4 linked regions of the Rhinolophus ferrumequinum genome follow. The protein of the gene in region 3 purifies or fractionates together with the protein of the main gene of each other region. This does not show direct contact. Links are inferred from orthologs where the notes say so. Each region holds a gene or a part of one and is shown on either strand. Other genes may lie near its edges.

Region 1 (6,996 bases), on a different chromosome or scaffold from region 3:
AAAATACAAGGTATCAAAGCAGGTGAAGTATGCTACCACTTTTGCAAAGTGGGAGGAAGAATATGTATTTGCTTATACACGCACAAAATACATCTTTGTAAGGATAAGTAAGAAAACAATACTGGCTCCAACCAAAACTGAGTGACAGAGGACAAATTGGGGAGATTTTCATTCTATACCTCCATCAAACATTTTATATTTTGAATCATACAAAGTTTTTATTCAAAACACAAATATAATAACCCAACAAATAAATGCTGATGATTCCCCATTTCTATCTTTCTCTCTCCACTAGAATTTAAGTCTCATGAAGGCAGACATTTTTGTATATTTCTTCACTACTATATTCCCACTGCCTGGTCCGTAGCTGGTGCTTGAAAAATATTTGTTGACTGAAATACTCCTTAACTTCTCCACTGAATTCCAGACTTGTACATCCAATTGCCTACTTCTCACCTCTGCTTGAACATCTACTAGGTCCTACATCTAATAGGTCCTACTTAACATGCCCAATCCTACCCTATCCCCGTGTAAAAACCTGCTTCCTTCACTTCTTCCCCATCTCAATACGTGGCATCACCATCCTTCAGTTGAAGCCCAAAGCCTAGACATCACTTCTGTCCCAACCAACTGCACTTCCATCCACACCACAAGTTCAATAAATACCTTTAACTCCAAAACATACGGCAAACCCTTTTTTACTTGTCTCTAATACTCAAACTACTCAACCTGCCACACCTTTTTCACTGGTCTCCCTGCTTTCTTTTTCCTCTTAGCCAATCTCCCCCATAGTCACCGTAAATCAGGCCCTATCACTCCCGGCCTTAGAAAAATTCCAATAGCTTTTCAATGTACTTTAAAAATAAAAGCCAAAGGCCTTTGGACGATAAGACCTCATGTAATCTGGCCTAGGCTGTGACCTCACTTATCTTTTACAAGAGCCCACCCTCACTGAGCTTCCTTCGGTTTGTGAACCCAAGCTTGATACCACCTCCACGCATTTGTTGTTCCCCCAGAAAGGAACACTCTTCCCTCAGATCTCCAAAGGGTAAATCCCTCACCCTTTTCAGATACCAGCTCAAAGGTCACCTTAGACAGGTCTTTTCTGACCACAGCAATTAAAGCAGTCTTCTCCCACTCACTACAACTCCCACTCCCAATTTTATTTCCTTCGAAACATTTATGATTCTCTGACATTACTTTTATTTCTTATTTATTGTGTCTCTCCCTTCCCCACCAGAATTAAAGCTCCAGGAGGGCAGAAATTTCATGTGTCTTGTGTATTTTTGTATCCCTAAAGCCTGCAATAATGCTTGGCATAAAAATTGCATGCTTAATAAATACTTAACTGATAGATAAGGCAAAACTGACTTTAAAGAAGGTCTACAAGATTTAATTTAGTGACAGACTGGTGAGAATAAAAGACATGGATAAACTATCTTCACATTTATAAAATACTGAAAATCACCAGCGGGGGTGAAGTAAGACTATTTCAGATGCAGGTGAACATTCAAACATACAGAAAAGGTATTTTTCACACACTGTGTACATGCACACTGTAGAAATGTCCCAACTTATAAACAACATCTGAAAAAAATTTTAAAAGGGTGACTCAAAACATGGTGTACACCTGTTATTTCATCTGTGACTCTTTTGGAAGGGTGTTCCAAACACTGTATTTGGGCAAAAGAAGCAAAGTATAACCACTCTGTTCATTCGTCTGTCTTAGAAAGGAATTCGAGATTCTGAGGTTAGGGAACCGTCTTTTGAGTGTTTTTAAATGGCTATTATGCAGTCAGTAGTCACTCAGAACAAAGTGATTATATCCTATAGTTTACTATGAATGTTGGTTTGGGACAGGTCTAGTTCCAAGATTTTTATACTGTAAAGTCAAAGAATCTATAGTAAATGTTAACAGTGTATATCTTCAAAATTTAAACTTCCGAAGTACTGCCCTTCAACTGGTAATAGTACTAATCCCTGGGGGAAATCCATGAATCCAAGGCTGTTGCTGTTAATAATAACAGCCTGCAATTCACAGACGTGTTATGCACATGCACGTATTTGTGGAGTGGCAGGGAACGGTCCACACTCCCCAGGGTGTAAGTGCCCTGAAGAGAGCCTAAGGGTCTTATTTCACGAGACCCTAAATGTGGACACAGGTCGAGCATGTACGTCGGCTACTCCTCCCCACAGCTATCAATCTCCGCTGTCTGCGGAAACAAAAGTGAAAATACTCATGGTAAGGATGTAGCGATGGATGCCCTCCCCGCCAAACAGAGTTGTGTAGCCCTGCGAGCACGTAAATAAGCAGATGAGTAGACACACTCTCACCTTCCCTCCTTCGGAGGAAAATGGGGCCGAGGGAGGGGCGCCCAAGGCCGGGTTGGGGAGGCCCGGAATCCAGGCCAGAGGGTGGCGGGCTTAGGGGTCAGCGCTCAGGGTAGCCAGGGTCACTTACCATCTTCCTTGACCACCCTCCTCCACTCCTCGCCCCTCCCCCCTCCTCGCCCCCAACTCCTTTCCTCCGCCCAATCTCCGCCACCCATCAACCGGTAAGGGAAGTTTCCCCGCGCCTGCAGCCGGACTCCCCGACCCTCAGCGGGGTTACCTTCTGCAGAAGCAGGACAAGGGGCAGGGGACTAGGGGAGGGGAGGCAGCCCGAAAGAATGAAGGACGAAGCCCCGGCGAGGAAGGTGGGCGGCGGCGGCGGCTGTCACTCGCGTTCCCCTGCTCACAGCGCTGCCATTACTGTGCCCGAGGCCGCCTCCCCGGCCGGCCGCCGCCACCCGCCCTGAAGACACGGGGGGTGCTCCGCGGAGCCCGGGAGCCCGCGCGCCGCACGCTCACCTGCCGCCGCGCGGAGACACAGAGAAGCCCCGACGGGCCAGGGGCGAAGGGGAGGGGGGTGGGTAGGAAAGAACGGGCTGGTTACTGGATCCGTGAAACAATCGTCCTCCCAAGCGCCGGGCTTTTCCCGACACACACCCTCCGCGCTCCCTCTTCCGCTGCCTCCGAGTCCCCCCCTTGCGGCGCAATGGTAGAGTCCCCGTTACGGCAAGCGCAGGGAGCCTGCTTTAGTGCAATTGCGAAAGGCCGCGGAAATCAACACAGAATCCGGACGGACTCCTTGCGGTCCTCACTGTGAATGAGGCAATGACGGTTCGCTGAGCTCAAGAGACTCAGTACTCAGCACGTTTGGGGATGACATGCTAATAACAGTAGGTCAGAAAGGTGTTTTCAACAAAAGTGTTTTCCTTTGAGTTGTTTCAGACCTACCGGTATGTGAATATTCTCAGGCACCACAATCTCCTTGCCACACCACTTCCATGGGGTTTTCAAATCATCAGAAATATATGAGCAATACTGTTTGTCGCTCTGACACACTCCTTTGCTAGTGGGTTTTCATCTGTAAACAAATTCTGAAACGTTAAGGTATTTTCAATAAAGAAACTTCTCGGTGTTGACCACTAACTTCCCACCTCCCCACCACCACCATTATACCAAGTCTAAAGGGTTTTCCTCCCTTACAATTTTAAACGGCAATGTCGACAAAAATATGGATTTACCTAGCACCTTCCCATGTACAAAAGGAACAAAAGCCTGGCTATGTTACTTACCTGCCTCTCCTAACCACAAGATCTCAGTGGTCAGTCTTGTCCGAGTATTGGTCAGTTCCTCATTTGTACGTTTCCAGCAAGCCTTTCCGTTCCAACCCTCTTTTTTAAACTATTTGTACCGATCCTTCAAAGGCCCATTTAAAGTCCTGTCTCCTGACCTGATAAATCCCACCAGTCTTTCTCCTCTAATCTGCTTCTCATGGCACTTGAACTTTGTTTTAATAAAATTATTATATACTAAATTCAATTCAACCATTTGTTTCCATTATACGACCTTTTTTCTCACATGTTCTCCCTCTTTTAATTCAGCAATTCTCAAAGGGTGATCCCCAGACATCTTGAAATCTCCAAGACCTTTTTGGGGTCCCAAGTTTAAAAATAATCTTAATAATACAACATGTTCTTTCTCTTTTTTATTGGGTTCACATTTGTACTGATGGTGCAAAGCAACAGTAACACTGCTGATATTGCCTTAGCAAGAATCAAGAGAATGGTACAAAGCTGTCCCAGTAGTCATTGGATCGCTGCCACACACTCCCAGTTTTGTTTTTTTTCTAATTGATTTAGGAATATCCTTGATGAAGTAGTAAAAAGTATTAATTTTATAAATGTCAACCCTGTGTACATGTCTTTCTAATATTTTGAGTGAAGAAAAGGGAAGTCCATATACACTTCTGCTATATACCAAAGTAGGATGGTTATGGAAGAAAGACACTTGTGTAGCTGACGTGTCATCTGAACTAGCTGCTTTTTTCATGGAATATCATTTTCCCTTGAAAGAACAACTGACAGACAAACTAATATTACTCTGACTTGGGAATTGACAAATATTTCTCCAAAATAAACAAAGTGAGCCTAGCACCTCAAGCAAAACAGCTGACGGTATTTGTTGCCAATAATAAAATACAGCTTTTAAGTAAAATTTCAAAATTTGGAAAACTAGTGTTCACCACCACGAGCTTGAAAGCTTAAAGACTTTTCTGTTGAGACTGTAGTGCTATTAATGAATGTGACTTTTGGATGTTGTATGAGATATGTCAACGTATAGAAGAGCTACATGCCACAATGAACCAATATTTTCCAAATGATCAATGCAGGATATTACAAAAGCATGCATGAATAAAAGATCCATTCAAATTGCAATAAAAGATCCATTGGTCTAATGGATAGATAGGGGTGTGTGTGTGTGTGTGTGTACACATAAAAAACAAAATACAAAATTTCCTTGATTGGTTTTAGACTCCTCATTACAACTAACCTTTAAGAAACTGCCACTTGTCAAATTTTCTGTAGTGTCAGAGAGGACTATCCACACTCATCCGAAAATACTATTAAATTCTCCTCCTAAGGCCTCGTATTTTCTTCATACACCTCAACCATAGAGAATCTAGCTATCTTCTTTTAAGCCAAATATTAAACAGATAGGCAACATGGAAAGCAATGCCATTCTTCTCGTTAAATTTTTTTTATTTTGGAAAATACAGTTACTTTTCAGAAAAACATGCAATTTATGTTAACATATGTTTGGGTTTATTATTTTTTAATTAATAACTAGATTTCTTAGATTTCTCTTTTTAATCCTAAAATGGTAACTATTGATAAATATAATGCACATAAACACAAGCTCTTTGAGTACCTCAACAATTTTTTTAAAAGTGTAAAGTGGTCCAGAGACCAGTTTGAGAACCGTTGCCCTGACTCATAAACTACCTCTGCTCTCACCACTTTCCTTTTAAATTCTAGCTAAGATTCAGACTAGCATGAACGGTGCCAAACAAGAATCACTACAACAGTTCTCTAGTTCTAAATCTCAGAGATCTCTCACCTTTGGATAGCTTATCCAACCAATATAATAGGAAAATTACATTTCTAAACAAGTTACAGCATCCAAACCCATAATATGAAATTGAGATTACTTCTTCCTTCCCCCGTCCCCAAAATAAAGGCATCCTGTGAAGAACCCTTCAAGCCACCCCTTTAAGCAATGCTTGGTCTTCACCCCAGAACTAACCTCAAACCCTAGTTCATTTATAAATTCTTTCCTTGTTTTACTTTTTAGCAAGACTACGTATATCACTAAACTATGTTTGGACTTTGTATAATGTTTACTGAATTCCTTTATTTTTTACTGATTTCAAAAGTAATAAATGTTTCTTTGTTAAAAAAAACAACTAATATTACAGAAATAATCATATTTAGGCTGATAAATATTCCTCAAGATATTTTCTTTGAATATGATTAAACACTTTTACACAAGTCCGATCACATTATAGATATGCTATTTTGTAGCTAGCTACTGATCTTTATGAAACACTTAAATAATTCTTAGTCAGGCAAAGTAATTTATAAATTAATATTTAAAGAGGAAAATTATTGAAAAATATTTTAAGTAGAATATCTCTAAATATCATTTCTTAAATCGATAAACAAAGTATGTCCATTTCTATTCATTTTCTACTTGCGAGTATACATAATTTTCTCTTTCAAAGTTTTCCAAGTTCATTTCATAATCTCCCTTTTACCTACTATTTGAAGAATCCAACCTGAATCATTCCCTGTCTTCATAAACCTCCTTTATAGACATAAAACCCAAACAGCCCTAATTTTTCTGGGACATTTATAATTTCAAATAATTTATCTCATTTTTATATTCCATACACTAAATCTGAATTGTCTTTTCTTAAATCTTTACTGGGAATTTGCATTTCCTGGTTATACCATTTATTAAACATATTTCCACCTTTTGTTTCTAGTAAACTTAAAAAAATGAGATACTGAAGAATAGTTTTCATGTTTGGATAGCTGATTAAAGAGTTGTTTTGTGCTTATAAAACTGAAAGTCTTCAGAAAAATATGTGACTGTAGGACAGGGGCAGGAATACGCAAGATAAGCTTGGAGAATATTGTAGTGTAAGAAAGTAAAGAAGTACTCAAAAATAAAAGCATCCACATTGATAGGAGTTATATATCAAAGGGCACAAAACTGAAAGAGCTCCCAATGGCCAAAGCTAGAACAATTTGAGCAAAAAAATAAAGTAGTAGTGGATTATAACCCAAAGTATAAAATAAATATCAATGGGTGCACACTAATATAAATAAATGATTGAATAAATTACTAAATGGGAAAGAACAATCTCATGCAGGAGAATTCCAAATAAATTTGTAGATACTTCACCACAAAGGAGGGAGAGGCTAACTCTTCATTCTTTAAGTGTGAACCAGGAAGAGTAACTTCCTTCCAAAGACTACAGTATGGAAAGAGAATTTTAAAAGGGTAACTTTATAGTGCAGAAACCTGACAAATACCACCTCAGCTAGATGATTAAGGTCAACTTTAGTAATAACTCATTGTTGATAGTATGTTCCCTTGATGTGA
Region 2 (7,635 bases), on a different chromosome or scaffold from region 3:
CCCTACAAAAAGTCAAAACTGAAAATCCTTGGTCTTGCATTCAGGACCTCTTAGAAGTAGGCACTCCTTCTCTCCTACTTACCTTCCTAATCTACCAGGATTTTGTTTGTGCTATACCACCAAAACTCCTCACCCCTAATTCTTTATACCTATCAAATTCCAACCATTACTTGGGACCCAGATGAAATTTCTCCTTTGGCAAGACGACTTCCTAGATAATTCCAGGTCTCGTGACCTCTCGTTCCTCTAAAACCTGTAGCGCTTAGTGCAGCACTCTCCAAAATAACTTTCCACGATAATGGATATATTCCATGCCTGTGCTATATGTTTTCATTTTTCTTTTAATATACAATAGAGATCATAGGCTTAATGTCTCATCATCTCTTTGAGGACACGTTGCATTGTATGGATAAAACATTTATCAAGTCACCTCAGTAGACTGCAAGTTCTGTCAACAAGGCATCTTATCTTCACAGCAACTTTCACTAAGTTGCAAAAAGTAAATATTTGTACACCACCTCTGAGAAAACTATAAGGTGAAAATGTGCTAGACTGTGTCTGGAATAGTCACTACCTCTGCCTCATCTCACATCTGAATGTCAAGACAGGCACAGGCAGGGAGGAGAAAGCAACTTTCTGGAGACATAAATGACCACTGATCAAGCCACAAGGCACTTTGGTTTAAATAACATTTAGGCCACGACTGTCCATCTACAAACTTGCCTAAATAAATATTTCTTTCCATTAGCAAATAGCTAAATTCTGATGGTAAATGATGTGACTAAAAAGTTAGTTACTTCCCAAGTTAAACAGCACAGTTAGATAGAAAAATAACCTAAGCGAACCCTATTTGTACTTTTTTTCTCCTGTTTATTACGTATCTCCTATGGGGTAGGACAGCCTATTGGTGGTATTTCACTGTCCAGATATATGTTAGAATTTCACTGACAGCTTTCCCAACAGGGACTACACTCACTCTAAATCAAGACCAAATATTTAAGCATAGATAGTCAAAAGAGCACAAAATGTACAGGTGTGAGTTCCACCACTATGACAAGTATCTTGTTTCTTTGCCTCAATTTTCTTACCCACAAAATAGGATTAATGTTACAGGAACTATCTATGCCTTGTGGGTCAAGTCATAACTGTGGATATTTCTAAATGATTATTCTTCCCAAAAGAACTACATATAAAACTAAAAGATTAATAAATTTGCTATAGTTCTTTGTGGAAGGTGTGCTAACAAATTATAGACTAAGATCAACCCTCCAACATCTTCTACAATTTTTCTGTATTTCACGTTTCTTTCCCCCATCCCACTATGCAAATATCTGAGCAAAAATTCTGCTAGTACTCCAGCAGATTCTGCTAGTACTCTGGCACATGTAATAAGGAAATAAATGTATTGATTCAGGGAACACAGATGTTTAATATAAAATAAAATATAAAATTGACTGAATCAAGTCATAACACAATCTAAATCCACATCTAAAAGACTGAGATGATTCACTATTCTGATTTATTCAAACCAATGCTTTATCAGCACAACTAGCCAAAAAGTTACAACCCATTTACAGAATATACCCTTTAGATACACACAATAAAAACCAGCAGACACACATTATGTACATTTTTAATAAGAAGAAGTGTTGTCAACACCATACACCCACTTGATATAAACACAGAGGGATGTGTACTAAACATGGAAAAAGCAACTTGAGTAACAGTATGAATTCTGCTAACTTAAGACCAACCACACACCCCAAACACAGGTAAAGTTTGCACACATGGCTTCACCAAGGCCAGCCTGTCTTTGTTTCCCTCTCCTCTGCATTTACCCAAGATCTTGGCTCTGAGACAGAAAACTCCCACTCTCGATTGGTGCATTCTGCCCTATGCAATTAAGCAACACCACAACCCAGTAAACGGAAGGTCTCAATTATTTATCTTCTGGCCGAGTTTACCAGGTGTTTATAAAAGAACAATGTCAAGGAGAAAAGAGGTTTATTTCTCTCTAGAGCTGGCTTGATTGGGGGGGGGGGTATTTTGTTTTAGAAGGGGGCGGAGGGAAGCAGGGCTTAACGTTGTAAAAGACGGGAGGGAATTTAGAAAGAGTGCACAAGACTGCCAATTTCCCTACAGGAAACTTGATTCTTATGCAATAATCCTACCCACAACCAACCAGCTCGTGAGACGGTAGGGGGAAGACACCTATTCTTACCTCCAGAGGGGCAAAGCTGGCTCCTAAAGGAGCGAGAACACCGCAAGGCCGAGGAAGTGGCTGGGGGGGAAGGCTCTTTTCAACCCCCCCCACCTCCCCGTGATCTCCGCCGGCGTGACAGTCGCTCCTGTGGCCAGAACGTCCCCGGAGCCCCAGAGAGCAGGAAGTCGGGGGGCTGTCCCTCATTCCTGCCACCCCCACCCTAGAGTGCTCTTGTCCCACGGTCCTCCCCCTCGAACCCATTCTCTCTTCCTCGGCGCCTCCCCCTTCTCTGAAGAACGAAACTTCCTTCCAGCGCCCCCTGTCCCTTCAGAGGCCCGCTCCTGTCATCCCTAGGAGTTGTCCCTTCAGAGCGACTCTCCGTGTCTCTTTGTATCCTCCTGCCCCACTGAAGTTTCGATCCACAACTCCCCCAAACACCCCAGTCACTCCGGTCACTCCGGTGCCCCCGGGGTCCCCAGGCCTAGGAGCCGTAGGGGGAGAACGGCCCCACCCTTCACCCCCTTCACCTGTTTCTCCGGCTGAGGCCCGACAGGCCGGGGTGCGCTTGCGCCGGGATGCGAGCCGCGGGGCTCCCTCGGTCCACTGGGTCTCTCCTGGCAGACGCTGAGAGAGCGCGCCGTGCGGGGGTGCTAGCCAAGGATCGGTTCGGGCTCACTCCCTCCGCCGCGAAGTCGGAACCCCAGGCTCTCCCAGTCTACGCCGCCGCAGCTCCGGAAATCTCTGAATTACAGCCCCTCCAGCCAATCCCCGCCCATCCCCAGATTGGCCGCGACACGCCGTTCTGCATAATTCATGAGACGGCCAGTTTTCTCAGCCACCCAGAGGCCCTGGTGCATGTACGTACATCCGAAGCCCCACCCACTGACCAATGAGGACAGCTTCTGGAAGGAAGGGCGGGTCACACAAGGCTGGGAACGCCCCTTGATGGCTGTTCCGAAGGCTTAGTGCTCCTCCCTCCACTACAGCAGGGGAATTGCCAAGGACTCGGGCACAGAAGCTCAGGGGGAGGGAGGGAAGATGACCGGAATGTCCTGCTAAAAACTCAGCTGAGTTCCTGGCAGTGCGTGACGTCAAGACACTTTAAATGCCCCTGATGCGGCTCTCATCTGCTTGCTCTCCCTTTTCCCGGCCCTTGACACCACGTGGCGGCGAGGTTGGGAGTCACTAACCACGTGGGAATCAGCCAGTTAGACAGTCCTAAAATATCGCCAGGTCCTCGGGGCCCAACACCTCAACTGGGTTTCTGGAGACAGCAAAAAGAACATGGGTGACTCCCGCCAGCTTTGAACTGCAGTTTCTGCGTGAGACGGGACACACACACCCGGAAATATGACGTGGAAATAGAGTAATTACTAGAGTGCGTGGGGAGAGGGTAGTGGATTTAACCCTGTTCTCGGTTGCGTCGCTTTAAGCATCAAACGCCACTGTTCGCACATTGGCCAGTTCACGAGAATGCAGAAGACAGTACATATGAAGATTGACACGTATACATATTTTTATGCTTCTGAGTTGAAATTGCCTGCCTTTTTTTCGCCTACTCTGCTTGAGCGCGAACCCAAGTTTTACTGCATTGAAGCCAGTAGTTTATAGAAAATGTAGATATTTTTTTACCTTACATGATAGAGGATGTACTTTGCATGATGGAGTAATTTGTGTGTGCGTGTGCGCGCGCTGATACTATCAGGTGTTTTTTCTTTTTAATAACAGCTATTGTTTTTGTGTTTGTTGTGAGTGTTTAATACAAAGGGGTATAAAGATGAAATCTTAAAAGGGCCTAATTATGTTACCACTCAGATAACCCCTGATGACAGTTATTTTCAATGAAACTAACACATATTCGTGGTTAGAAAATTCAAACGGTTCAGAAAAGTTGAAAATTAAAAATGAAAATTTCCCTCCTTCCCCCACCAGTATTTCTCCCCAAGGATAGCTATTCTTATTAATTTCTGGTGAGAAAAATCAATGACTCTTAACCTGTGGTGGGAGAGGGTCACAGATCTTTCTGGACTCTGTTGGATTCTCGCCCTAGAAATATACAGTATACACTTTTACCCACAAATTCTCACGGTTCCCCAGATAACTGAAGCCCAGTCAAAGACCAGATTTGGACCTTTCTACCACCTTATTTATATCCAAGTGAGAGGTGATCCACCTCACCTAAACTCTGCTTTAGCTGTATTATCCCATGCAGTTGACAGCCTCCCTAATAACATAGGGTCTAACATTTCTTTAGTTATTTACTGCTTACAAAGTACTTGCACACTCGTTACCTCTTTTCTTTCTCACAATAATTATGTGTAGCAGATAGGAGAGGCCATATTATTTATTGATAGGAAACTAAGGCCAAAATAGTATGACAATCTCAGGTCAGGAGCTACTCAGAGGTATACCAGAGCCAGGTTTTTGAGCTTCACATCTCATGACTTTGTTCCATCTACTAATACCCTGCCCTCTTCTCCTGCCTTCTCAGCAGCTGGCTTTTGTTTCCCTCATACAGAAAATCTACCCCTGAGCCTATCTGTTCCACCTACAAAACCTCTCTCCAGCCCCGCCACTGGCCTTTCTCCACACTCTGCCAATCCCCCTGCGCTTACAGATGGCAGTTTCTTTCACTTGAGCCAATGCTTTGACCTGAACTCCCCTTTCCAGCCTCATCCCCTCCATCCCACAAACCTTACCCTCCCACACTGAATTCATCACCTTCCTCCAAACATGTCAGCACCTCTGTAGCTTCATGCCATTAAAGATCTCCCTTCCACCTAAAATATCTTCTCTTTCCCCATTTCCTACCTGAAAAACTCTTATTCATTCTTCAAAGCTCAGTTCCTATATTTCTTCCTCTGGGCTTTCTGAGATTCTTCCTGTCAAAGTTAATCTCTTCTGCTGGGCTCCCTTAGCAGGTTGTTTCCCTATTCTAGTTTCCCTATCCACCTCAGCCCCATTTATTAGCCTACTTCCTGGTAAATAAAATTAATGATTAACATTTATTAAGTAATTACTATGTTCCAGGAATTGAGCTAAGGTTTTTACATAGATGATCTCATTTGATCCTCAAGAATCTAGTGAGGTAGGGCACTATTATAATTCTTTTTTTCAACTGAAGAAACTATGGCTGAGAAAATGAAAGACTGGTCCAAGGTCCCATAGCCAGAAACTAAAGGTAAACTCAGAATGAGAATCCAGTCTGGCTGACTCCAAAGCCTGGCCTCTCTGCCTACATAGTTGAAAGCATGTGACATCTAGCCCAGAACTCACCTAAGCCTGATTTAATTGAATAGTAATAAACATGTATTGAACACTCATATGGGCAATAGCTAACACGTATGGAGTATTTATTGTGTACTAGCCAGTACTCTAAGTATGTATTATATAGCACATGTATTAACTCATTTAATCCTTATAATAACCCCATGCGGAGGATACTGTGATTTTACAAATGAAGAAAATGAGGCTTACCCAATGTTAAGTGACTTCCCCACATATATATACCTGGTAAAAATGGCAGAGTCAAGATTCAAATCCAAGTGTCTACTTTGAAAGCCTGAATAACTGCTCTTCCTTGACCATATCTCCAGGCCTAACCTTCCTCTTGGATCCTCAAGGAAGGGTCTAAAGGAGGGGAAAAGATGAGGCCCCCATTCTCCACCCATCAAGTGAATAAGGCAGAGTGCAGAAGCCTTGCAAGTTTGTGGTGGTTTATAAACATGTCCGCAAATTATCTGACACTTCTCCCATCTAAAGATAAAGTCTAGCTCCATTCCCTTGGCGACTTGCTTCTAATACATAGAATATAGTGGAAATGATGCTGTCTGACTTCTGAGATTAGGTCATAAAAGGTGATACAGCTTCCACCTGACTCTCTCCTGGTACACTCACCCTTGGAACTCAGCCGCCATGTTGTGAGGAAGCCCAGGCTCCACGTGGAGGCCACACAAAGGTGTTCTGGCCAAGAGTCCAGCTAAGACCCAGCTGATAGGAACCATCAACTGTGAATGAGCCAGACTCCAGCTGATTCCAGCCCCCAACATTCAAACCATGCCGATGGAGGCCAAATGGAACAGAGAAGAGCCTTTTTTTAAAAAAAACTTTTATTCATTTTAATGTGTTTTTCCAGGACCCATCAGCTCCAATTCAAGTAATTGTTTCAATCTAGTTGGGGAGGGCACAGCTCACACTGGCCCATGCAGAGATCAAACCAGCAATGTTGATATTATTAGCATCATGCTCTAACCAACTCAGCTAACCGGCCACCCCAAGAGAAGAGACTTTTTTGCTGAACCTTACCCAGATTACAAATTCATGAGCAAAATAAATGTTGTCGTTGCTTTAAGCCACTAAGATTTGGGGTGGTTTGTTACACATCAATATGTAGTCAGGATAGGTTTCCATTTATTACCTCAGAGAGACTCAGAGGAACTATAGGCTAGATCAGGAATTGAGACTTACCGGGCTTTGTAAAATTCTAGAAATGTTTTATTTAGTTCCTCTTCCCTGGAGGAATTAGTACTAAAACTCTAAATCAAGAAAAAGACATGGGAAGAAAGAGAAGATTTGGAGAAGAACATTGGAGGCGGTAAATAGGTGGCAATCACTGCAGTGACCAAAAGGGGCAACGGGCAACTTGTGTGGGTGATGGGACCCCCACGGGGCGCAGCAACAGAAAGGTTCATTCACACAGGGTTGCCCAACTCCCCCTCACTAAAATCACAGAGGAGCAGATCTGTGCAACACGAACTCCTTGAATCTCTACTTTCGTTGTGCAAAAACACTTCTCAGGCATCATCATGTAAGCATCTCCCTTTCCTCCTGTCTGAAGAACAGTCCTCCCTACTCAATATTTTCAACACTAAGCTCTTTTCCGGCTTAAAATATCATTCATACGATGTCATTCTGTCCCGTCAGTGGCTTCCCATGAGGCTTAGGATACAGGAATTCTTCTTTTTTTTTAATCCCCTTCAGTACCTGCTTACCCACCCACCAACCCCCCACACCTCTATTCTGCCCACTAAATTCCAATCAGTCCATTTCCCACCTCAGGGCTTTTGCACACGCCATACTTTTTCTTTCTCCAGCTTTCACATGACTAGTTTCTTCTCACCCTTCTGGTGTCACCTGCTCAGAGAGTCCTTGTCTAACTACTGTCACCTAAAGTTGCTCCCAGCCCCTTAATCTCTATATATGCTGTTTCCTCTGGAATTCTTATTATATTTCTCATTTATCTGTTTACAGTTTCTTCTCTTTCTTCCTCGTTATACTGTCAGTTCCAAAAAATGGTCCTTGCCTGTTTGGTGCTCCTTTGTCTCCCCAGTGCCCAGGAAACAGGCACTAAATAAATACTTATTGAATGAATGGAAGTTCTCTTGGTCCTACCTGTCCCCTCTCTGAGCTTTATCAATTCTTCTCTCCCTCCT
Region 3 (6,967 bases):
GTAGAAGTTTAAACTAGAACTTTACTAGGTAACACCTATTTTCAAGTACACAGTGTTACCAAGACTTCTAAATCAGGCACTGGGCATAATCTCATTTAATCTTCACAATAACTACTAATATGGCTGCTATTATTATCATTTCAAAAGCTGGACACAGGCTCAGAAGCAGTCGGTAATTTGCCCAAGTTCACAAAGCTAACAATGTGAAAAGGCTGGATTCTAACTTAGAGGTGAGGTGTCTGGCTCAACCACCAGGCATACTCTTCTTCCAACAAGTAGAAAATCAAAGTAAAATTGTAACAAGAAAAAAGTTACTAATAAATGAGAGAGCTCTAGACTTTTAATGACCTAAATTAAAGAAGGAAGTTAAGGACTTCATTCTCAGAGTTTTTACTTTAATGATCCAATAACTATATGGTTTTGAAAGTCTGGCCTGAAATCTGAAACTGAACGATGAACCTCTTGACATTCCTTTGAAATCTAAAAATCTGTATCAATGTGCTACTAAATAAAGCCAGCCGCTACCCCTAAGGAATCAACATCAAAGGCCTTATGTGAAATCTATTATAACCATACCCATCCTCTGATCTGATTTCTTCCAATCCTGCAGCTATGAGTTTCCTAGACCTTCTTTAAAGAAAGACAAATTTGTCTCCCCCACCTGGACTCTGGAGGCTCATTTAAAATGGAAAAATTGTAATAAGAAAATCCCTGCCCCTCCATCTTTCAGTTATCTTTTCAAAAGGTTTTAAAATTAGTTTAAAAAGGGCAAAAACCAGACATCCTTAACAAACAGTACCTAAAATTGTTGAGTAGCCACCATTTATTAAGTGTTTAACATAACTTTCAGGTCTAAAAACCTCCATATAAAGAAATATGAATCCATCTGATCCAAATTTGCTAAATTTTCAAAAGATAAAATTTTGAAAATAACACATGGGACTGAGGAAAAAAATCCAAAAACTAGTTTAGAATTGTGGGTGATGCATAGTAGCTAATTAATATTTGTATTAAAACTGCTTATGATATTCTCAACTCATGAATTGGAAAGGAGAAATGAGTACAGTATTGTATATAAAAAGGAAGTGATCGGTGCATAACTTAATGTACAGTATTAAATGTGATTCAGCATATCATAACAGAAAACTGGCACTACACAGAGGTAATCTGCCTTAGGTTTACAATACAGAGACCACATCTTTTCATCAAAAGCATTGTAATCACTTCTGCAAAATTAATTGTAATTTATTCTTGGGAACTCTTAGAATTTAAGTATAGGTCTGTTTAGTGAGTTTTTGAATTTTATAAGTGCTTTCTCTGGTGTCACAAACTGAGAATTTATCATTCCATTGAATAAGGACCAAAACGGCATCTACAAAACAGCAAGAACATAAACAAATTTATCTTCTGCTGACATTGATTAGGGAAGTTAATCTCTGCCAGGAGAGTGGAAGGACTTAACAGTAAAGCCAGTCTACTAACCACAACTCTTTATTATAAATCTTCGATTCCTTAAAATGATTTTCTCAAAGGTTAAAATACCAGTGGACCAAATTCAGTGTGGGTGGGGGGGGAGGGTCATTGAATCCCACTGTTTCAACTAACATTCCTGTAATATACCACTTAGACTCAAACTTCAAGGTGTTCTAAAAACTTGCGTTAAATTCTAACAATGATTATTTACTTCAGACGTACTTTGAAGGTTTTCCTTTAATATACTTCAATTTCAGGAAAATGCGACAGTTCTAAAAATTTTTGCAACTTTTTAGTTATGTATTTCATTTGCTCTGATCACATACCTTTTTTTCCAATCTCATTAAAAATGTTTGCCTAAATTTAGCCAAGCGCTACGTTTTCACTAAAATACTTTCAAGAATGAATGAGGCATATATTCATTTGTAATGTCTGGGCTCCTTGACAGGTGATATAAATACAAGTATCCAATTCTGATGTTCTCTTTAAAATGTTGCTGTTTCTCTAAATTCCCGTTACTCCACTCTCAGACTAGGGAAGTTTTTCAAGGCGATTAAAACACAAAACAAAACCTGCACGTGCAAACTAAAAAGTTAGCATCTTCAGGCCACCGCGACAAACCCCTAATGCACAAAGGCACAGACACCCCCCACGGCTGGACAACCGCAGGGCAGTATCGCTTTCGACCACGCGAGCCACGGTCCGGAACCCGGGGCCCCGATCCCATTGGGAAGCCAGGACCCGCGTGCAGGGTTCGCCCCGGGGCCGAGTTTTCAATGGAACCGGAGAGGATGGGGGCGGGAAGGAGCAGAAGCTCGGGTACAAACGGCGGCGACCGAGCTGTGGCTCATTTCTCTCCCGGGGTTTTCTGGCTAGGGGAAGTCCACCCGAATGGGGGCACAGGGCAAGCTGGCTTTTTGACGCAGATAGGGAGGCGGTGCGAGGCCCCGGCGGCCTGCAAGGGAGGGCGAGCAGGGCCCAGCCCCCGGCCCCTGAAAGCACTTTCAATGCGTCTCCCGCCCCCCACGACAAGATGGCGACGTGGACAGAGGGGGAGCCCGGCCCGCGAGGTTGGAGGAAAAAGAGGGGAGGAGAGAAGAGGCAGAAACAAAAAGGCGGCCCCCCCCCAGAACGACGAGGCCGGCCCGCGAGCCCGGAGCGGAGGGCGGGCAGGGGCGCCACGGAGAACGCGGCCCGCGGAAGACATGGGCTTACTTTTTCTTGTCGTTCGCGCCGCCGGCGCCCTCCATGGCGAATCGGTCCCCGCGATGCCTTCACGGCCGGCGGCCCCCAGGCTCGCTCCGGCCTAAGCGCTGGCTCCCTCCACACGCGCGGAGAGAAGGAGAGGCACGTCCAGAGGTGCGAGGCGGGAAACCCCTCGTGAGACCAGAGGCAGGAGGAGCAGGCAGCAATCGCCGGACTCTAGGCTCGGCTCAGAAGAGCCTCCCCTCGGGCTGCTAGTCAGGGCCTGATCCGAATCACTGGCCGAAGCGGTGGCAATCCTCGCGTCCCCTCAGACGAGTCGGCTCTGTGCTTGTTGGAGCTGAGGCAGCGACAGGGGGCGGGCAAGGGCGGAGGCGCGCTCGGAGGCGCGCGCGGGGGCGGGAAGAAGTGTCGGCGGCGCGCTCCCGCAAGCCCGCCTCACCTGAGGGGGAGGCGGGTTCCCTGAAAGCCAATGGCGAGCGACGCAGGCGGCCAGTCCCCACCCCGGCCCACGTCTGTCTCAGCCAATCAAGAGACGGTCAGCTGAGGCACAGCTGAGACGCGCTGCCGCGCTCACGTGCTCGTCTGTGTGCAGCTGCGGAGGCAAAAGAAAGGCGCTGGGGTGCGGCCAGCCTGAGTTCGGGGACCTGGCGCCTTCTCCTAGGGAAGGCAGGGGCTGGCTTTGGGAGGCGCTGCTGAGAAGAAATTTCGGTTTGTGGGTCCCAAGCCAGCATCATATTTCCTGCTCGTTGCTGCAGGTCTCCCGCTCTCTTTCTCCTCCGCGGTTGTGCAGTGCAGGGTTGCCGCCAGCTCTACTGAGTCCCAGTTGAAAAAAAACAGACTTTTCACGTCGTGGCTGCAAACCTTTCGGTCCCTTTGCCCACATGTATTACAATGGGGTCTTTCTTGTCAGGTTACCTAACCACGGACCGTGTCACCGACTGCACTCTTTGCGGTAGAAAACACAAAGGTGCTCTCCTTGTCCACTGTTTCCCTGTGATGAAGTTTGATTACTGAGTAAATGAAAATAAACCTCTCTTCCTGTAAACCTCTCAAAGGAAGTAGTCGAATCTTAAAGTTTGAAATTATATTAAGCATATACAAATAGGTATAAGTGGCTTTAACAAAAGAGCATCAAGCCGAATTTCAGGGAGAGCAAGAAAAATGGCTTTAAGTAGACTTCTATTTTTTTTTTTGCTTTTAAAAGAGCCCCCCCCCCAAAAAAAAATCTTACTTGGATTCGAAAAAAAGGAAGACGACCCTTAATTTGAGACTTATCACCTGGAATTGAGTTCACTGCGTGGACTGGAAAAAGGAAGTATTCTCTAGATCCCCACCCAGACCTGGGCAGGGGACCTCTGAACCCGAGTTAACTGGATATGGTGGCCGCCAGTATTACCTGTTTGCTAACATGACTTTGCAAGCTACTGAATAAGATTTAATCACTTTTTGGCTTTGGAAGCATACATTTCAAGACTGTCAGTCTTTTAAATGTTAAAAAAAAATGTATTTTGAATCAGTAAAGAAGTACTGGGTATATATATATTTATCCACTTTACACTAGATCATTTCTCACCTTTGCCTTTTTAGTTATATTGTTGCAATCTAGCTTTGGTTTGTATGTTAATTAATGTGGATATTTAGTGGATTTCAATTATATTGCTGTGTAAAAACAATGATCTATATAACAGCATTAAATTCCGATAAGACAGCTATCAATTCACATCGCACCTCTTTAACTGGTCGGTACACCCACAAAGATAATAGTTCAAGATCTTAATGTTACTTGTTTTTTAAGATCTTTAAGAGGTCTGACAATTAAGTTCATGAACTTGTTGCAATGACTTTGCTAACGTTTTTTGATATCAGAGGGATTATTCATTATGAATTTGTAACAACTGGACAAACAGTTAACCAAGTTTACTATTTGGAAATGCTGAAAAGGCTGCGCAAAAAAGTTAGACGACATGAACTTTTCACCAATAATTCATGGCTCTTGCATCATGACAATGTACCAGCTCACAGGGCATTGTCTGTGAGGGAGTTTTTAGCCAGTAAACAAATAACTATTGGAACACACTCCCTGCTTGCCTGATCTGGCCCCCAATGAGTTCTTTCTTTCCCCGAAGATAAAGGAAATACTGAAAGGAAGACATTTTGATGACATTCAGGACATCAAAGGTAATACAACAGCTCTGATGGCCGTTCCAGAAAAAGAGTTCCAAAATTGCTTTGAAGTGTGGACTAGGTGCTGGCATCAGTGCATAGCTTCCCAAGTGGAGTACTTCGAAGGTAACAGTTGTGATATTCAGCAATGAGGTATGTAGCACTTTTTCTAGGATGCATTCGCGAACTTAATTATCATACCTTCGTATATACACATACCTATATGAACGCGGAAAGCAGTAATATTTAACTAATTTGTTTTCACATAATTACAGAGGAGCCAAATAGTATTCTCTAATTTAATCAATCCTGTTAAATTACAGAATGTTAAATAAAAGGCAAAATTTTCTGTAGGATAAAATTTTATCCCATCATCTTCTTTAAAACCATCTATCAATAAATGGACTTAGGCTGTTACAATGTAAAATAAACCTTAATGAATGGCTTTATTCAATCACTTTGTAATGTTTGTAAGTGTTCAAATTTTATTCCAAATTACTTTGCAGAACTTTCTAGGTAGACTGCAAGATTATTTTCAAATGACTCAGTTGACCCTTGACACGTATTTAGTAGGAAGTTGGGCAGTGATTCAGGAGGAGACAAGTTAAACTTGAAATTTGGATTACTACTAAATAATGTAGAGCATTGAGCCTTTTAAAGAGTGAAACACATCAGATTCAGGTAATTTAGAGTGTATCAAACTATGTTAGTAGACTTAATTAGTGGTCAGTAAGTGATTCTTGGCTCATTACCCTCAGTTTCCACACCCCCACCCCACCCCTAACCTATTCTGTTACACGAACAACAACAAAAAGTATATCATTTGGAAGGAAAGTGCTTAGAAGTTAATAAACATTAAAAATTCCTTTTTTTATTTCAAGGATGACAACAGAAAATAAACATGTATATTTGTCTGAGTTTATTGAGAATAAGAATAGACCAAAAATTTAACACTAGCACATTTTAATTATGATAGACATTTTAAGCATAAATTTACAAAGGAATGTCAAGGGATTTTCAGTTTCTGGTCCAACATGAAAGAGATTGGAAGCTCCCATTTTCACAATAAGAAAAAAAAGCTGAATAAACTGAAAAGCAACAACTCTTCTTAGATCCATCAGAGAATTGTGGTTTCAGGGAACTGCTGCCGTGAAAACTGGAGGAACCAATGGTTATAGAGAATAACTGCTTATCAGAGGATCACAGTTTACCAGGAGCAGAAGTCAGCACCTGAAGCCAGCATCACAGTTGGAGCCAATATCAGTAGAAACACTTCACACTGTAATTGAGGAATTGCTGGAGGCTCTGTGTAGACCAGCTTGAGAGTTGAAAAACTCCAAGGGGGCTCAGCCTCAGAGGGGCCTCACAACTTTCCTGAGTTTTACCTTTAGGAGCCCTACCAGATTCTCACTGTGAAAAACCTCTTGCTTTTTTTGGAGTCGGGGGTGGGAGGGAACTAACCTTTTTAAAATAGTCCCAGAGTTCTCTGTTCTTCATACAGTCAGCCCTCAAGGAAAACTATTTTACCAGAGCCTAACAAACCTTGGGGTAGGGAAACACCCAACTCCAGCCTTCTCTAGCCTTCAACATAGGAGAAGGCACATACTCAGGCTCACAAGACTAAAACCTAATCATTGGACTATAGAATGCTTTCCCTTCTCCCTCACCTTACCATAACACCACAACAGTAGGGTTCCAGTGTAATAACAGGATTATAGCAAAAAGAACTGCAAGTCTCAGAGCCCATTTAAAGAGTCACTAGGAACATTCAAAGACAACAAGAGAAACAAAAACAAGGACACTAGAGTAAATTTTAGCCTCAGACACCACAGCTACAGCAAATAATAACACAGACTAATTCTTAGCCAGATAAACATAAAACTTTATAGTAAAGGCCTATTTACTTAAGTTCCTTTCCCCTAATACAATGTGTCTGGCTTTCAACAACAACAAAGAAAGAGAAAAAAGAAAGAAAATTACAAGACATGCTAAGAAGCAAAATATAACCATTTGAAAAGATAAACAAAACATCAGAACAAGAATTAATATGGCAGAGATTTTGGAATTACCAGACCAGGAATTTAAAATAACAATGATTGATATGCTAAAGGCTCTAATGCAAAAA
Region 4 (6,909 bases), on a different chromosome or scaffold from region 3:
CAGCAAACTGGGGCATCAGGGCATGCCTGGATACGTCCCTGCCATTGTGACACCCCGACTTGCCCCAGGGCCCACGCCTCCTGAGCCTCAGGGCCGGGGACAACCTCGGCTCCCCTTCTTCCTGGATCTGCTGCACTCAGAGTTCTGCTCTGAACATGTGCTGCTTTTAGAAGCGAACAAACAGAAACACTGCCGTCAGGTTGTGGCCCCAGGCTGGCCAGCAGCTCCTGGTGACCCACCTGCATCCACGATGGCTTCGTAGGAGACCTCCAACAACAGACGCAGCTGGGGGTCCATTGTGTGCGCCTGCCTGTTGTGGACCCCAAAGAAGGCGGCGTCAAACTTGGACAGATCCTTCAGCTTGCCAGACCGCTTGGGCAGGCCGTAGAGTCCTGCAGACATGGGCAGATGGACGGCGCCTGTTGTGGGATGTCACAGGCCCCGCAGGACCCACGGAGGAGGCCCTGCTGCGAGGGGAGCTGGCTCCTCAGGAGGGCGGGCAGCAGCCCCAAGAGGGGCCTCTCTGCCAGGCCTGCGTGTCACTTGGCAGCGTGTGGCTGACTGTGACCCCAGAGCAGAGCGTGGTGGGGCACCGCAGCGTCCCACCGCCCGCCAGCATCCTGGACCCTCTGCTGGGCCCGAGCTGGGCCAGCCCTGCCACGCTGACTCACACCCTGTAGATCAGGTAGAGCCACCCTGCGGGGGAAGCTACTGGGTGTGAGGGAGTCAAACCAGCTTCCCGAGAACCTGGGACATGTGGGCCAGCAGTGGCCGGCCGGGCTCTCGCCCACCTGGCCTCACCCCTGGCCCTATCCCCGGTGCCGGGACCTAGTAGGTCACATAGCTCAGCTGTAAAGTGGGCAAGGAGGCACACTAGGGCTCACCCTCTGCCTCCTGAGGCCAGAGCCCAGAGCCCAGAGCCCACTCACCGGCCTTCCACCGCCTGTCGTCTTCTGTCACCATGTCCACGCCACCGATGAGGTTGGCCCAGAACTCCTGCACATTCTCCGACTCGGGCAGCTTCCCTGACATGCCAGCGATCACCACTTCCTCCATGCTGCTCCCTGCGGGGTGGACACGGGTCAGCTCTGGCCCCAACAGCATCTGCCCTCCTCCACCTGGCCCGTTCACAGGTCTGAGAGCAGCATGGAGGACCAAGGCCCCCCCCAGACCAAGGGACAAATGGTCAGCTCCTGGTCCTGTGCCTCCCGGATGGAAGCCCAGGGTGTGTGTGGGTTCAACTCTGGTCCAGCCAGCCCTCACCTCTTACTGGGCCTTGGCACTGGCCTGTAACATCTGGGGCCTCGACCTGGGTGATACCACCATGGATGGCCTGCTGCTCTGTGGACCCCCCTAGCAGTCAGGGGCCTCTGCAACCTCCTGCTGCAGTGCTCCTGGGAGGACCATCCAGAGAAGGGCCCAACCCCTTCCCAGGACAGGGCCACCTGGCCGTCAGCCTGCTAAAAGCTGGCCCAGGAAATCAAACAGGGGAGAACGGGCGCCAAGGTTTGAGGGAAGGGAATCAAGGGTGGGGAGGAGCAGCAGCCCATCCTTCACTCAGCACCCCAGGGTACCCTCCACGGCCCGATGCCACCAAACTGCCCGGACTTGGGCAGGGATGTGGGTACCAAGGCCCGCAGGGCTCTGTGGAAAAGTGGCCCTTGCTCCACAGTGGGCCAACCCGAAGAACTTCCTGGTCAGGTTGCAGGCAAGTGCTGCGCAGACCCACACACCTGTGCAGGTGAGGCCGCAGGATACTACTTGCTGACCTCCATGCAGCCTGCCTGACCCAGGTCCCCAAGGCGCCTGCAGAGGGAGCCCTGGCCACCCTGAGCTTGTGGGTGCAGGACGGGGGCTCCTTTGCAGCCCCTGAGGGAAGGGACAAAATCAGGGTTGGTCTAGCAACTTCTGCCAATGCCCTAGGGCCTTGTGGTGCTAATGTCCGGTGGGGGTGGGCACGCCAACCTTTTGCCCTCCTGGGTCTCTCTGAACAAGGGCGGGCTGAGTAGAGGAGAGCAGCGACTTCCTTGGGTGGCCGAGTGTCCCTGCTGTCTCAGCAGGGAAGGAGCCCCCTCCCCCAGCGCTGAATAAAGAGCTCTTTGCGGGCCCAGGGGCACCAGCTCCGGGGCGGCTGCTTCCTCCAGAAAGCGCCAGCTCTGTTCTTCCCTACTTGCTATTCACGCGGAGTCCGGCGGGGCCCACACGGGGGGTGGAGACCCCCGCAGCGCGCACCGCCTCGCCAGTCCGCCCCGCCGCTGCCACCGAACGGGCTGGAGCTGCTTGCCACCCCAGAACTTTGGGGGTTCCGGCCGGCGCCCACGTGGTGGGGAAGCCGGTCCTCACCCGGCTCCGGGGGCCTCTCCACCACATCCCTCCCTTCTTCCCGGCCCTCCGGTTGGCTGGAAGGGAGCCTCCGGCTGGGGCTGGGCCTCGGCTATGCGGCACACGAGGAGGAGAGGAGGTGGTGCCGCGGTCGAGGAGCTCAGGGGCCCGGCCCGCATGGAGACCTCTGAAGGCGCCAAGGGGCCCGGCGCGCACGAGGCGGCGGGTGCTCCCACCGGCCCTCGGGGGTTCGCAGCTGCCTGGCCAACCCCACTCCGAGACCAAAATGGCTGTTCGCGGCACTCTCTGGCGTCCGCCCCTCGCCATCGTCCATCTGTCCCACCAGGCCTGGGGCGCGGCGCACGGGTCCTTCATCACCCGGCCCCGGACGCTCTACGGGGCTCGGACCGCGAGACCCGAGCGGGCCTCGGAGGGCGACCTCTCACCACGGGCGCCCCGTGGCCGGAGGATGCCGGCCGGCGGCGCCCTCCGGGCCCGGCCGCGCCGCCCCGACCCCGGGCTCGCCGCTGGTACCTGGTCTGGGCGCGGGCGGCAATGCGGGCGGGCGACTGAGAGCGAGGATGGAGCGCGGCGGAGAAAGGGGCCAGGCCGCTGCCGTCTCTCTGGCTCCCTCTAGGCCGGCGCCGACTCTATTTAACTGCGGCCGTCCCCGCGCGGACACGCCACATGGGCTGACAGCTTGGCTGCGCCGCCCAGGCCAATGAGCGTCGGGGCTGCGCCCCGGGACCCGGCGCGCCGCCGCCAGTGGGGTGATGCTGCGCGCCGCCGCCGCCACCGCCGCCGCCGAGACCTGCGCGGGGCCGCGCCTGGGGGGAGGTGCCTAGCTGGTGGGCCGAGGACTCGGGGGGCGCTGGGGCGGGGCGCGCCGCATCACCCCCGCCCTCCACTTCCGTTTCCCGCCCCGAGGGCACGCGGTGCGTCCCCACCCCCAGGGCCGCGGGGGCCACGTGTGCGCGGCGCGCGGGTTAAACGGGACCGGGCGTGTTTGGGCTACTTCGGGGTGGGGGCGGGCGGTCACGCCGGGGCCACATTAGAGTCCAGGCGGACCCCCATACGGACGGACGCACAAGCCAGCGTCTGGGGCGGGCACAGCCGACTGTGGGCGTGGCTCGTTTTGCCGCCGCGGCCAATCGGGGGCCGGGGGCGTGCGCGCAGGCCCAATGGCGGCGCGCGAGGGGGCGTTGCTAGGCGATAGGGTGATGGGCTGGCCCCAGCGCTGCGCCGGCCGCGGCGGGCGAGCGCGGTCGTTGACCCAGCCGGGGGCGCACTGGCCGGGGTTACTGCCGGTCACCGCAGCAGGGGACTGGTCCTCTCCGCCAGGCCGTCCCACTTCGCGGGGCCGGCGCGGGAAGCCGGGCGGACGCCTCCCGAGCCAGCAGGGGTCGAGTGGGCGCACCGCCGGCTCCCCGGAGCCGGCCGCAGGGAGGGGCGCGGCCATTTGGCGAGCGGGCTCTGCACGGACACCGCTTGGTGTGATTCGAACAAAGGAGCCTCCCTGGGCAGAGGCACTCGCGCGCGCACTTGGCCACTCGCACCCACGCGCGCTCATGCGCACCGGCGGAGGCTCAGCTCTGCGTCCCGGCTCACTGGCGCAGGCCCTCCCTTTGTAATTCTGCTTAAACGGTTATGGAACTTACAATTCCCTGCCCCGCTGCTCACTGGGGGCTTCTGGCTCCTGCACAGTGGAAGGAAGGGCAAGACAGCAAAAGGGGAGAGCTTGGAGCTCCCACAGCGGAACTGCTGTTCTGAACAACCTCTCCGCGGGTTGTCTTTTTCCTCTTTTGATTTAAGAGCTTATCAGACACCTGGGGTCCCCGGCCAGGAGCGGCTGGGCGGGCTGGGCTCGAGACCCTGGGCTCGCACCACGGAGGGCGGGTGGGTCGGAGACTCGATCATGAGCTCTTAAGTGAGTCTACCGAAAGTGACCCGGCATCTCCATTCACTTTTTCAACTAAAAGAAGTCACGTGGCCCTGAGGCATTCGAAGAGGCAATGCCGGAAACAGCAGAGCACCGACCCCCCGCCCTCCATCCCCCGCCTCCCGCGCAGCTGCTCCAGCTTGCAATTTCCCGGCGGCGGCGCTGACCGAGTCACCGCCGTTGCCTCTCCCGGAAGCCCGCGCGCCCAGGACGAGCAGTTCTGGCCCCGTGAGAAGGCTGACCTCCCTGCCCGCGTGTTCACAGGGGGCTGAGTGAAGCACACTGCCGATGCCCAGGGAGGCATGAGCCACAGAACCGCACACCAGGTCTGTGATCTCCCGGCCCTGCATCCGGCAGCACCTGTGAGCCAGGCAGGTAGATGACACTGTCTACATTTTACACGGGGGCTAACTGAAGCCCAAGAGGTCACACACAGGGAGGGCTGGGTCCAGCCTTCCCCGTCTCCTCTCTCCTGTTGGGTGAGAGCTGGCCCCGTTGGGAAGCATCAGTGCTGCACCTAGGCAGCCTGAGGGCACAGTCATGCTCCATCCACCTGGGGTGAGGACAGGCCTGTCTCCAGCCCTCAGCACTGCTGTGCCAACCAGGTGCAAACGCCAGGGGAGTTGAGCACAGGGACATCTCCCCACACTGCCCTCCCTCCCAAGACAGGCGATGTGGCTGTGACAGCCTAGAACCCACGGTGTCAGGACGGTGCCCTGAGACATGTTCTTCTGGTGGGGGAGAATGGGTGTGGCTTTGCAGCACCTGGAGTGACGGGCATAAGTTTGTTTCTCACCCTTGCAGTTGCCCGGTCTGGGGCCACCTCCACCCCAGCTGCACCCTGACGCGAGCACGAGAGCACGCACGAAAGAGCATGTGGGGGCAGCTTGGCGAGGCAGTCTCTGGTCTGGCGTGGGGTCACGGAGCCTCACGGTCCTCATTCCTCACGGTCTGTGCTCTGTGGGGTCCACCTGCTTTGTGGTGGGCCTCTGCTCTCCATGCCCTGCGGCTTGCCGGCGCCTGTGGGCTGTGACATGGGCAACCTGGCTCTCCTGGGCATAGTCCTGATGCCCAGACACCTCCCAAATAGGACAGGTAAACAGCTCCCAGGCCAGCAGGCAACCGGCTTTAATGCAGTCCACACTCGGTCTGTGAGGCACCCCAGCAGCTCACAGCACCCCCCTCCCCATGTGGGCACACACACGCATCCCTGAGGTGAAGATTAAAGCACAGGCCCCAGGGGCCAACTAGGAGTGGGAGAGACGGACAGGAGGAGAGGGCAGGGTAGCCAAGGAAGTCAGTCCTTGAAGTTGTAGTTCCGGACCTTAGGGGGCCGCTGGTAGCCTTTAGGTTTGGCAGGGTGGGCCTTGGAGGGTCTTTCGGGTTTGGCCTGGCCTTTCATCTTCATCCCTTTGATGGCCACAGGGCTGTCAGGGTGTGGGAGGTTGTCAGCTGCTGGAGGTGCTGTGAGCTCTACCAGGTGAGAGAACAGAAAAATGCAGTTACATCCCAGGCCAGGAAGCCATGTGCTTAGAAAGCAGTTCACTTGAGTGTACACCGACCGGCTGTGGTTCCTGCCAGCAGGAACCGAGACCACACGCCCTGGCTGTTGGCACGGGAGCCCCGTGCAGGCCAGAGGCCCTCCCGTGGTGACCATTCAGTGGCAGCAAGGTCCCAGGCCAATGTCACCGCACAGGAGGTTTGTGGGCACGCGCTCTCCAGATGCTTTGCAGGGCGTGAGCCTGTCCCTCCACTGGGTACACAGCACACTCGGCCCTGAGAACCGTCTCCTGTCCTAGCCATCTTGTAATGGCTCCCTGGAGGGGGGCTATCAAGGTTAATGGGTGACTCATGGCACTTGCCCACTGTCAGCCAGCCTTTGCACCTCCAATTGCCCAGCAGCCTGGACACACGTGGCCAGGCCCAGGCCAAGGACCTGGGTGCGGCAGCACACGTCCCCATGTGGGCCAGCATGCCAGAGCGGCCCTTCCTCTACACTGGGGCTTTGATGGTGATTTTCTTGATCCTTCGAGCTTCTATGTTCCAAGTTTTTAGAGCTAAGAATGTATTTCTTTTGTAAAACAAAAAGGATATTATTAAAAAGCAATTGTAAGGGCTGACCCGGTGGCTCAGGTGGTTAGAGCTCCATGCTCCTACCTCCGAAGGCTGCCGGTTCGATTCCCACATGGGCCAGTGGGCTCTCAACCACAAGGTTGCCAGTTTAATTCCTGGAGTCCCGCAAGGGATGGTGGGCAGCGCCCCCTGAAACTAAGACTGAACACGGCACCTTGACCTGAGCTGCCGCTGAGCTCCCGAATGGCTCAGTTGGTTGGAGCGCGTCCTCTCAACCCCAAGGTTGCTGGTTCGACTCCCGCAAGGGATGGTGGGCTGCGCCCCCAGCAACTAGCAACAGCAACTAGACCTGGAGCTGAGCTGCGCCCTCCACAACTAAGACTGAAAGGACAACTTGAAGCTGAATGACACCCTCCACAACTAAGATTGAAAGGACAACTTGACTTGGAAAAAAGTCCTGGAAGTACACACTGTTCCCAATAAAGTCCTGTTCCCCTTCCCCAATAAAATCTTTAAAAAAAAGAAAAAAAAAAAGCAATTGTAAGATGCAAGGTCAAGACTGGCTGTCCCTTGGG

What was found.
Region 1: the proteins of HIF1A (region 3) and CUL2 purify together in Homo sapiens (affinity purification with western blotting; 7 studies listed by BioGRID and IntAct, with this or other methods). This does not show direct contact. The link is inferred for Rhinolophus ferrumequinum from reciprocal best matches to the Homo sapiens genes HIF1A and CUL2.
Region 2: the proteins of HIF1A (region 3) and STAT3 purify together in Homo sapiens (affinity purification with western blotting; 4 studies listed by BioGRID). This does not show direct contact. The link is inferred for Rhinolophus ferrumequinum from reciprocal best matches to the Homo sapiens genes HIF1A and STAT3.
Region 4: the proteins of HIF1A (region 3) and FASN purify together in Homo sapiens (affinity purification with western blotting; 3 studies listed by BioGRID and IntAct, with this or other methods). This does not show direct contact. The link is inferred for Rhinolophus ferrumequinum from reciprocal best matches to the Homo sapiens genes HIF1A and FASN.

What each region holds. Positions count from the first base shown.
Region 1 is NC_046288.1:5,835,104-5,842,099, forward strand, and holds the start of CUL2 (cullin-2), read right to left. Parts: upstream 3,012-6,996; 5' UTR 2,851-3,011; intron 2,788-2,850; exon of another isoform or gene 2,612-2,787; intron 1-2,611.
Region 2 is NC_046304.1:38,168,567-38,176,201, forward strand, and holds the start of STAT3 (signal transducer and activator of transcription 3), read right to left. Parts: upstream 3,017-7,635; 5' UTR 2,731-3,016; intron 2,243-2,730; exon of another isoform or gene 2,222-2,242; intron 1-2,221. UniProt on the Homo sapiens protein: Signal transducer and transcription activator that mediates cellular responses to interleukins, KITLG/SCF, LEP and other growth factors. Once activated, recruits coactivators, such as NCOA1 or MED1, to the promoter region of the target gene.
Region 3 is NC_046289.1:33,431,327-33,438,293, forward strand, and holds the start of HIF1A (hypoxia-inducible factor 1-alpha), read right to left. Parts: upstream 3,007-6,967; 5' UTR 2,724-3,006; coding exon 2,689-2,723; intron 1-2,688.
Region 4 is NC_046304.1:54,837,636-54,844,544, forward strand, and holds the start of FASN (fatty acid synthase), read right to left. Parts: upstream 3,022-6,909; 5' UTR 2,857-3,021; intron 1,065-2,856; 5' UTR 1,057-1,064; coding exon 930-1,056; intron 393-929; coding exon 240-392; intron 1-239. UniProt on the Homo sapiens protein: Fatty acid synthetase is a multifunctional enzyme that catalyzes the de novo biosynthesis of long-chain saturated fatty acids starting from acetyl-CoA and malonyl-CoA in the presence of NADPH.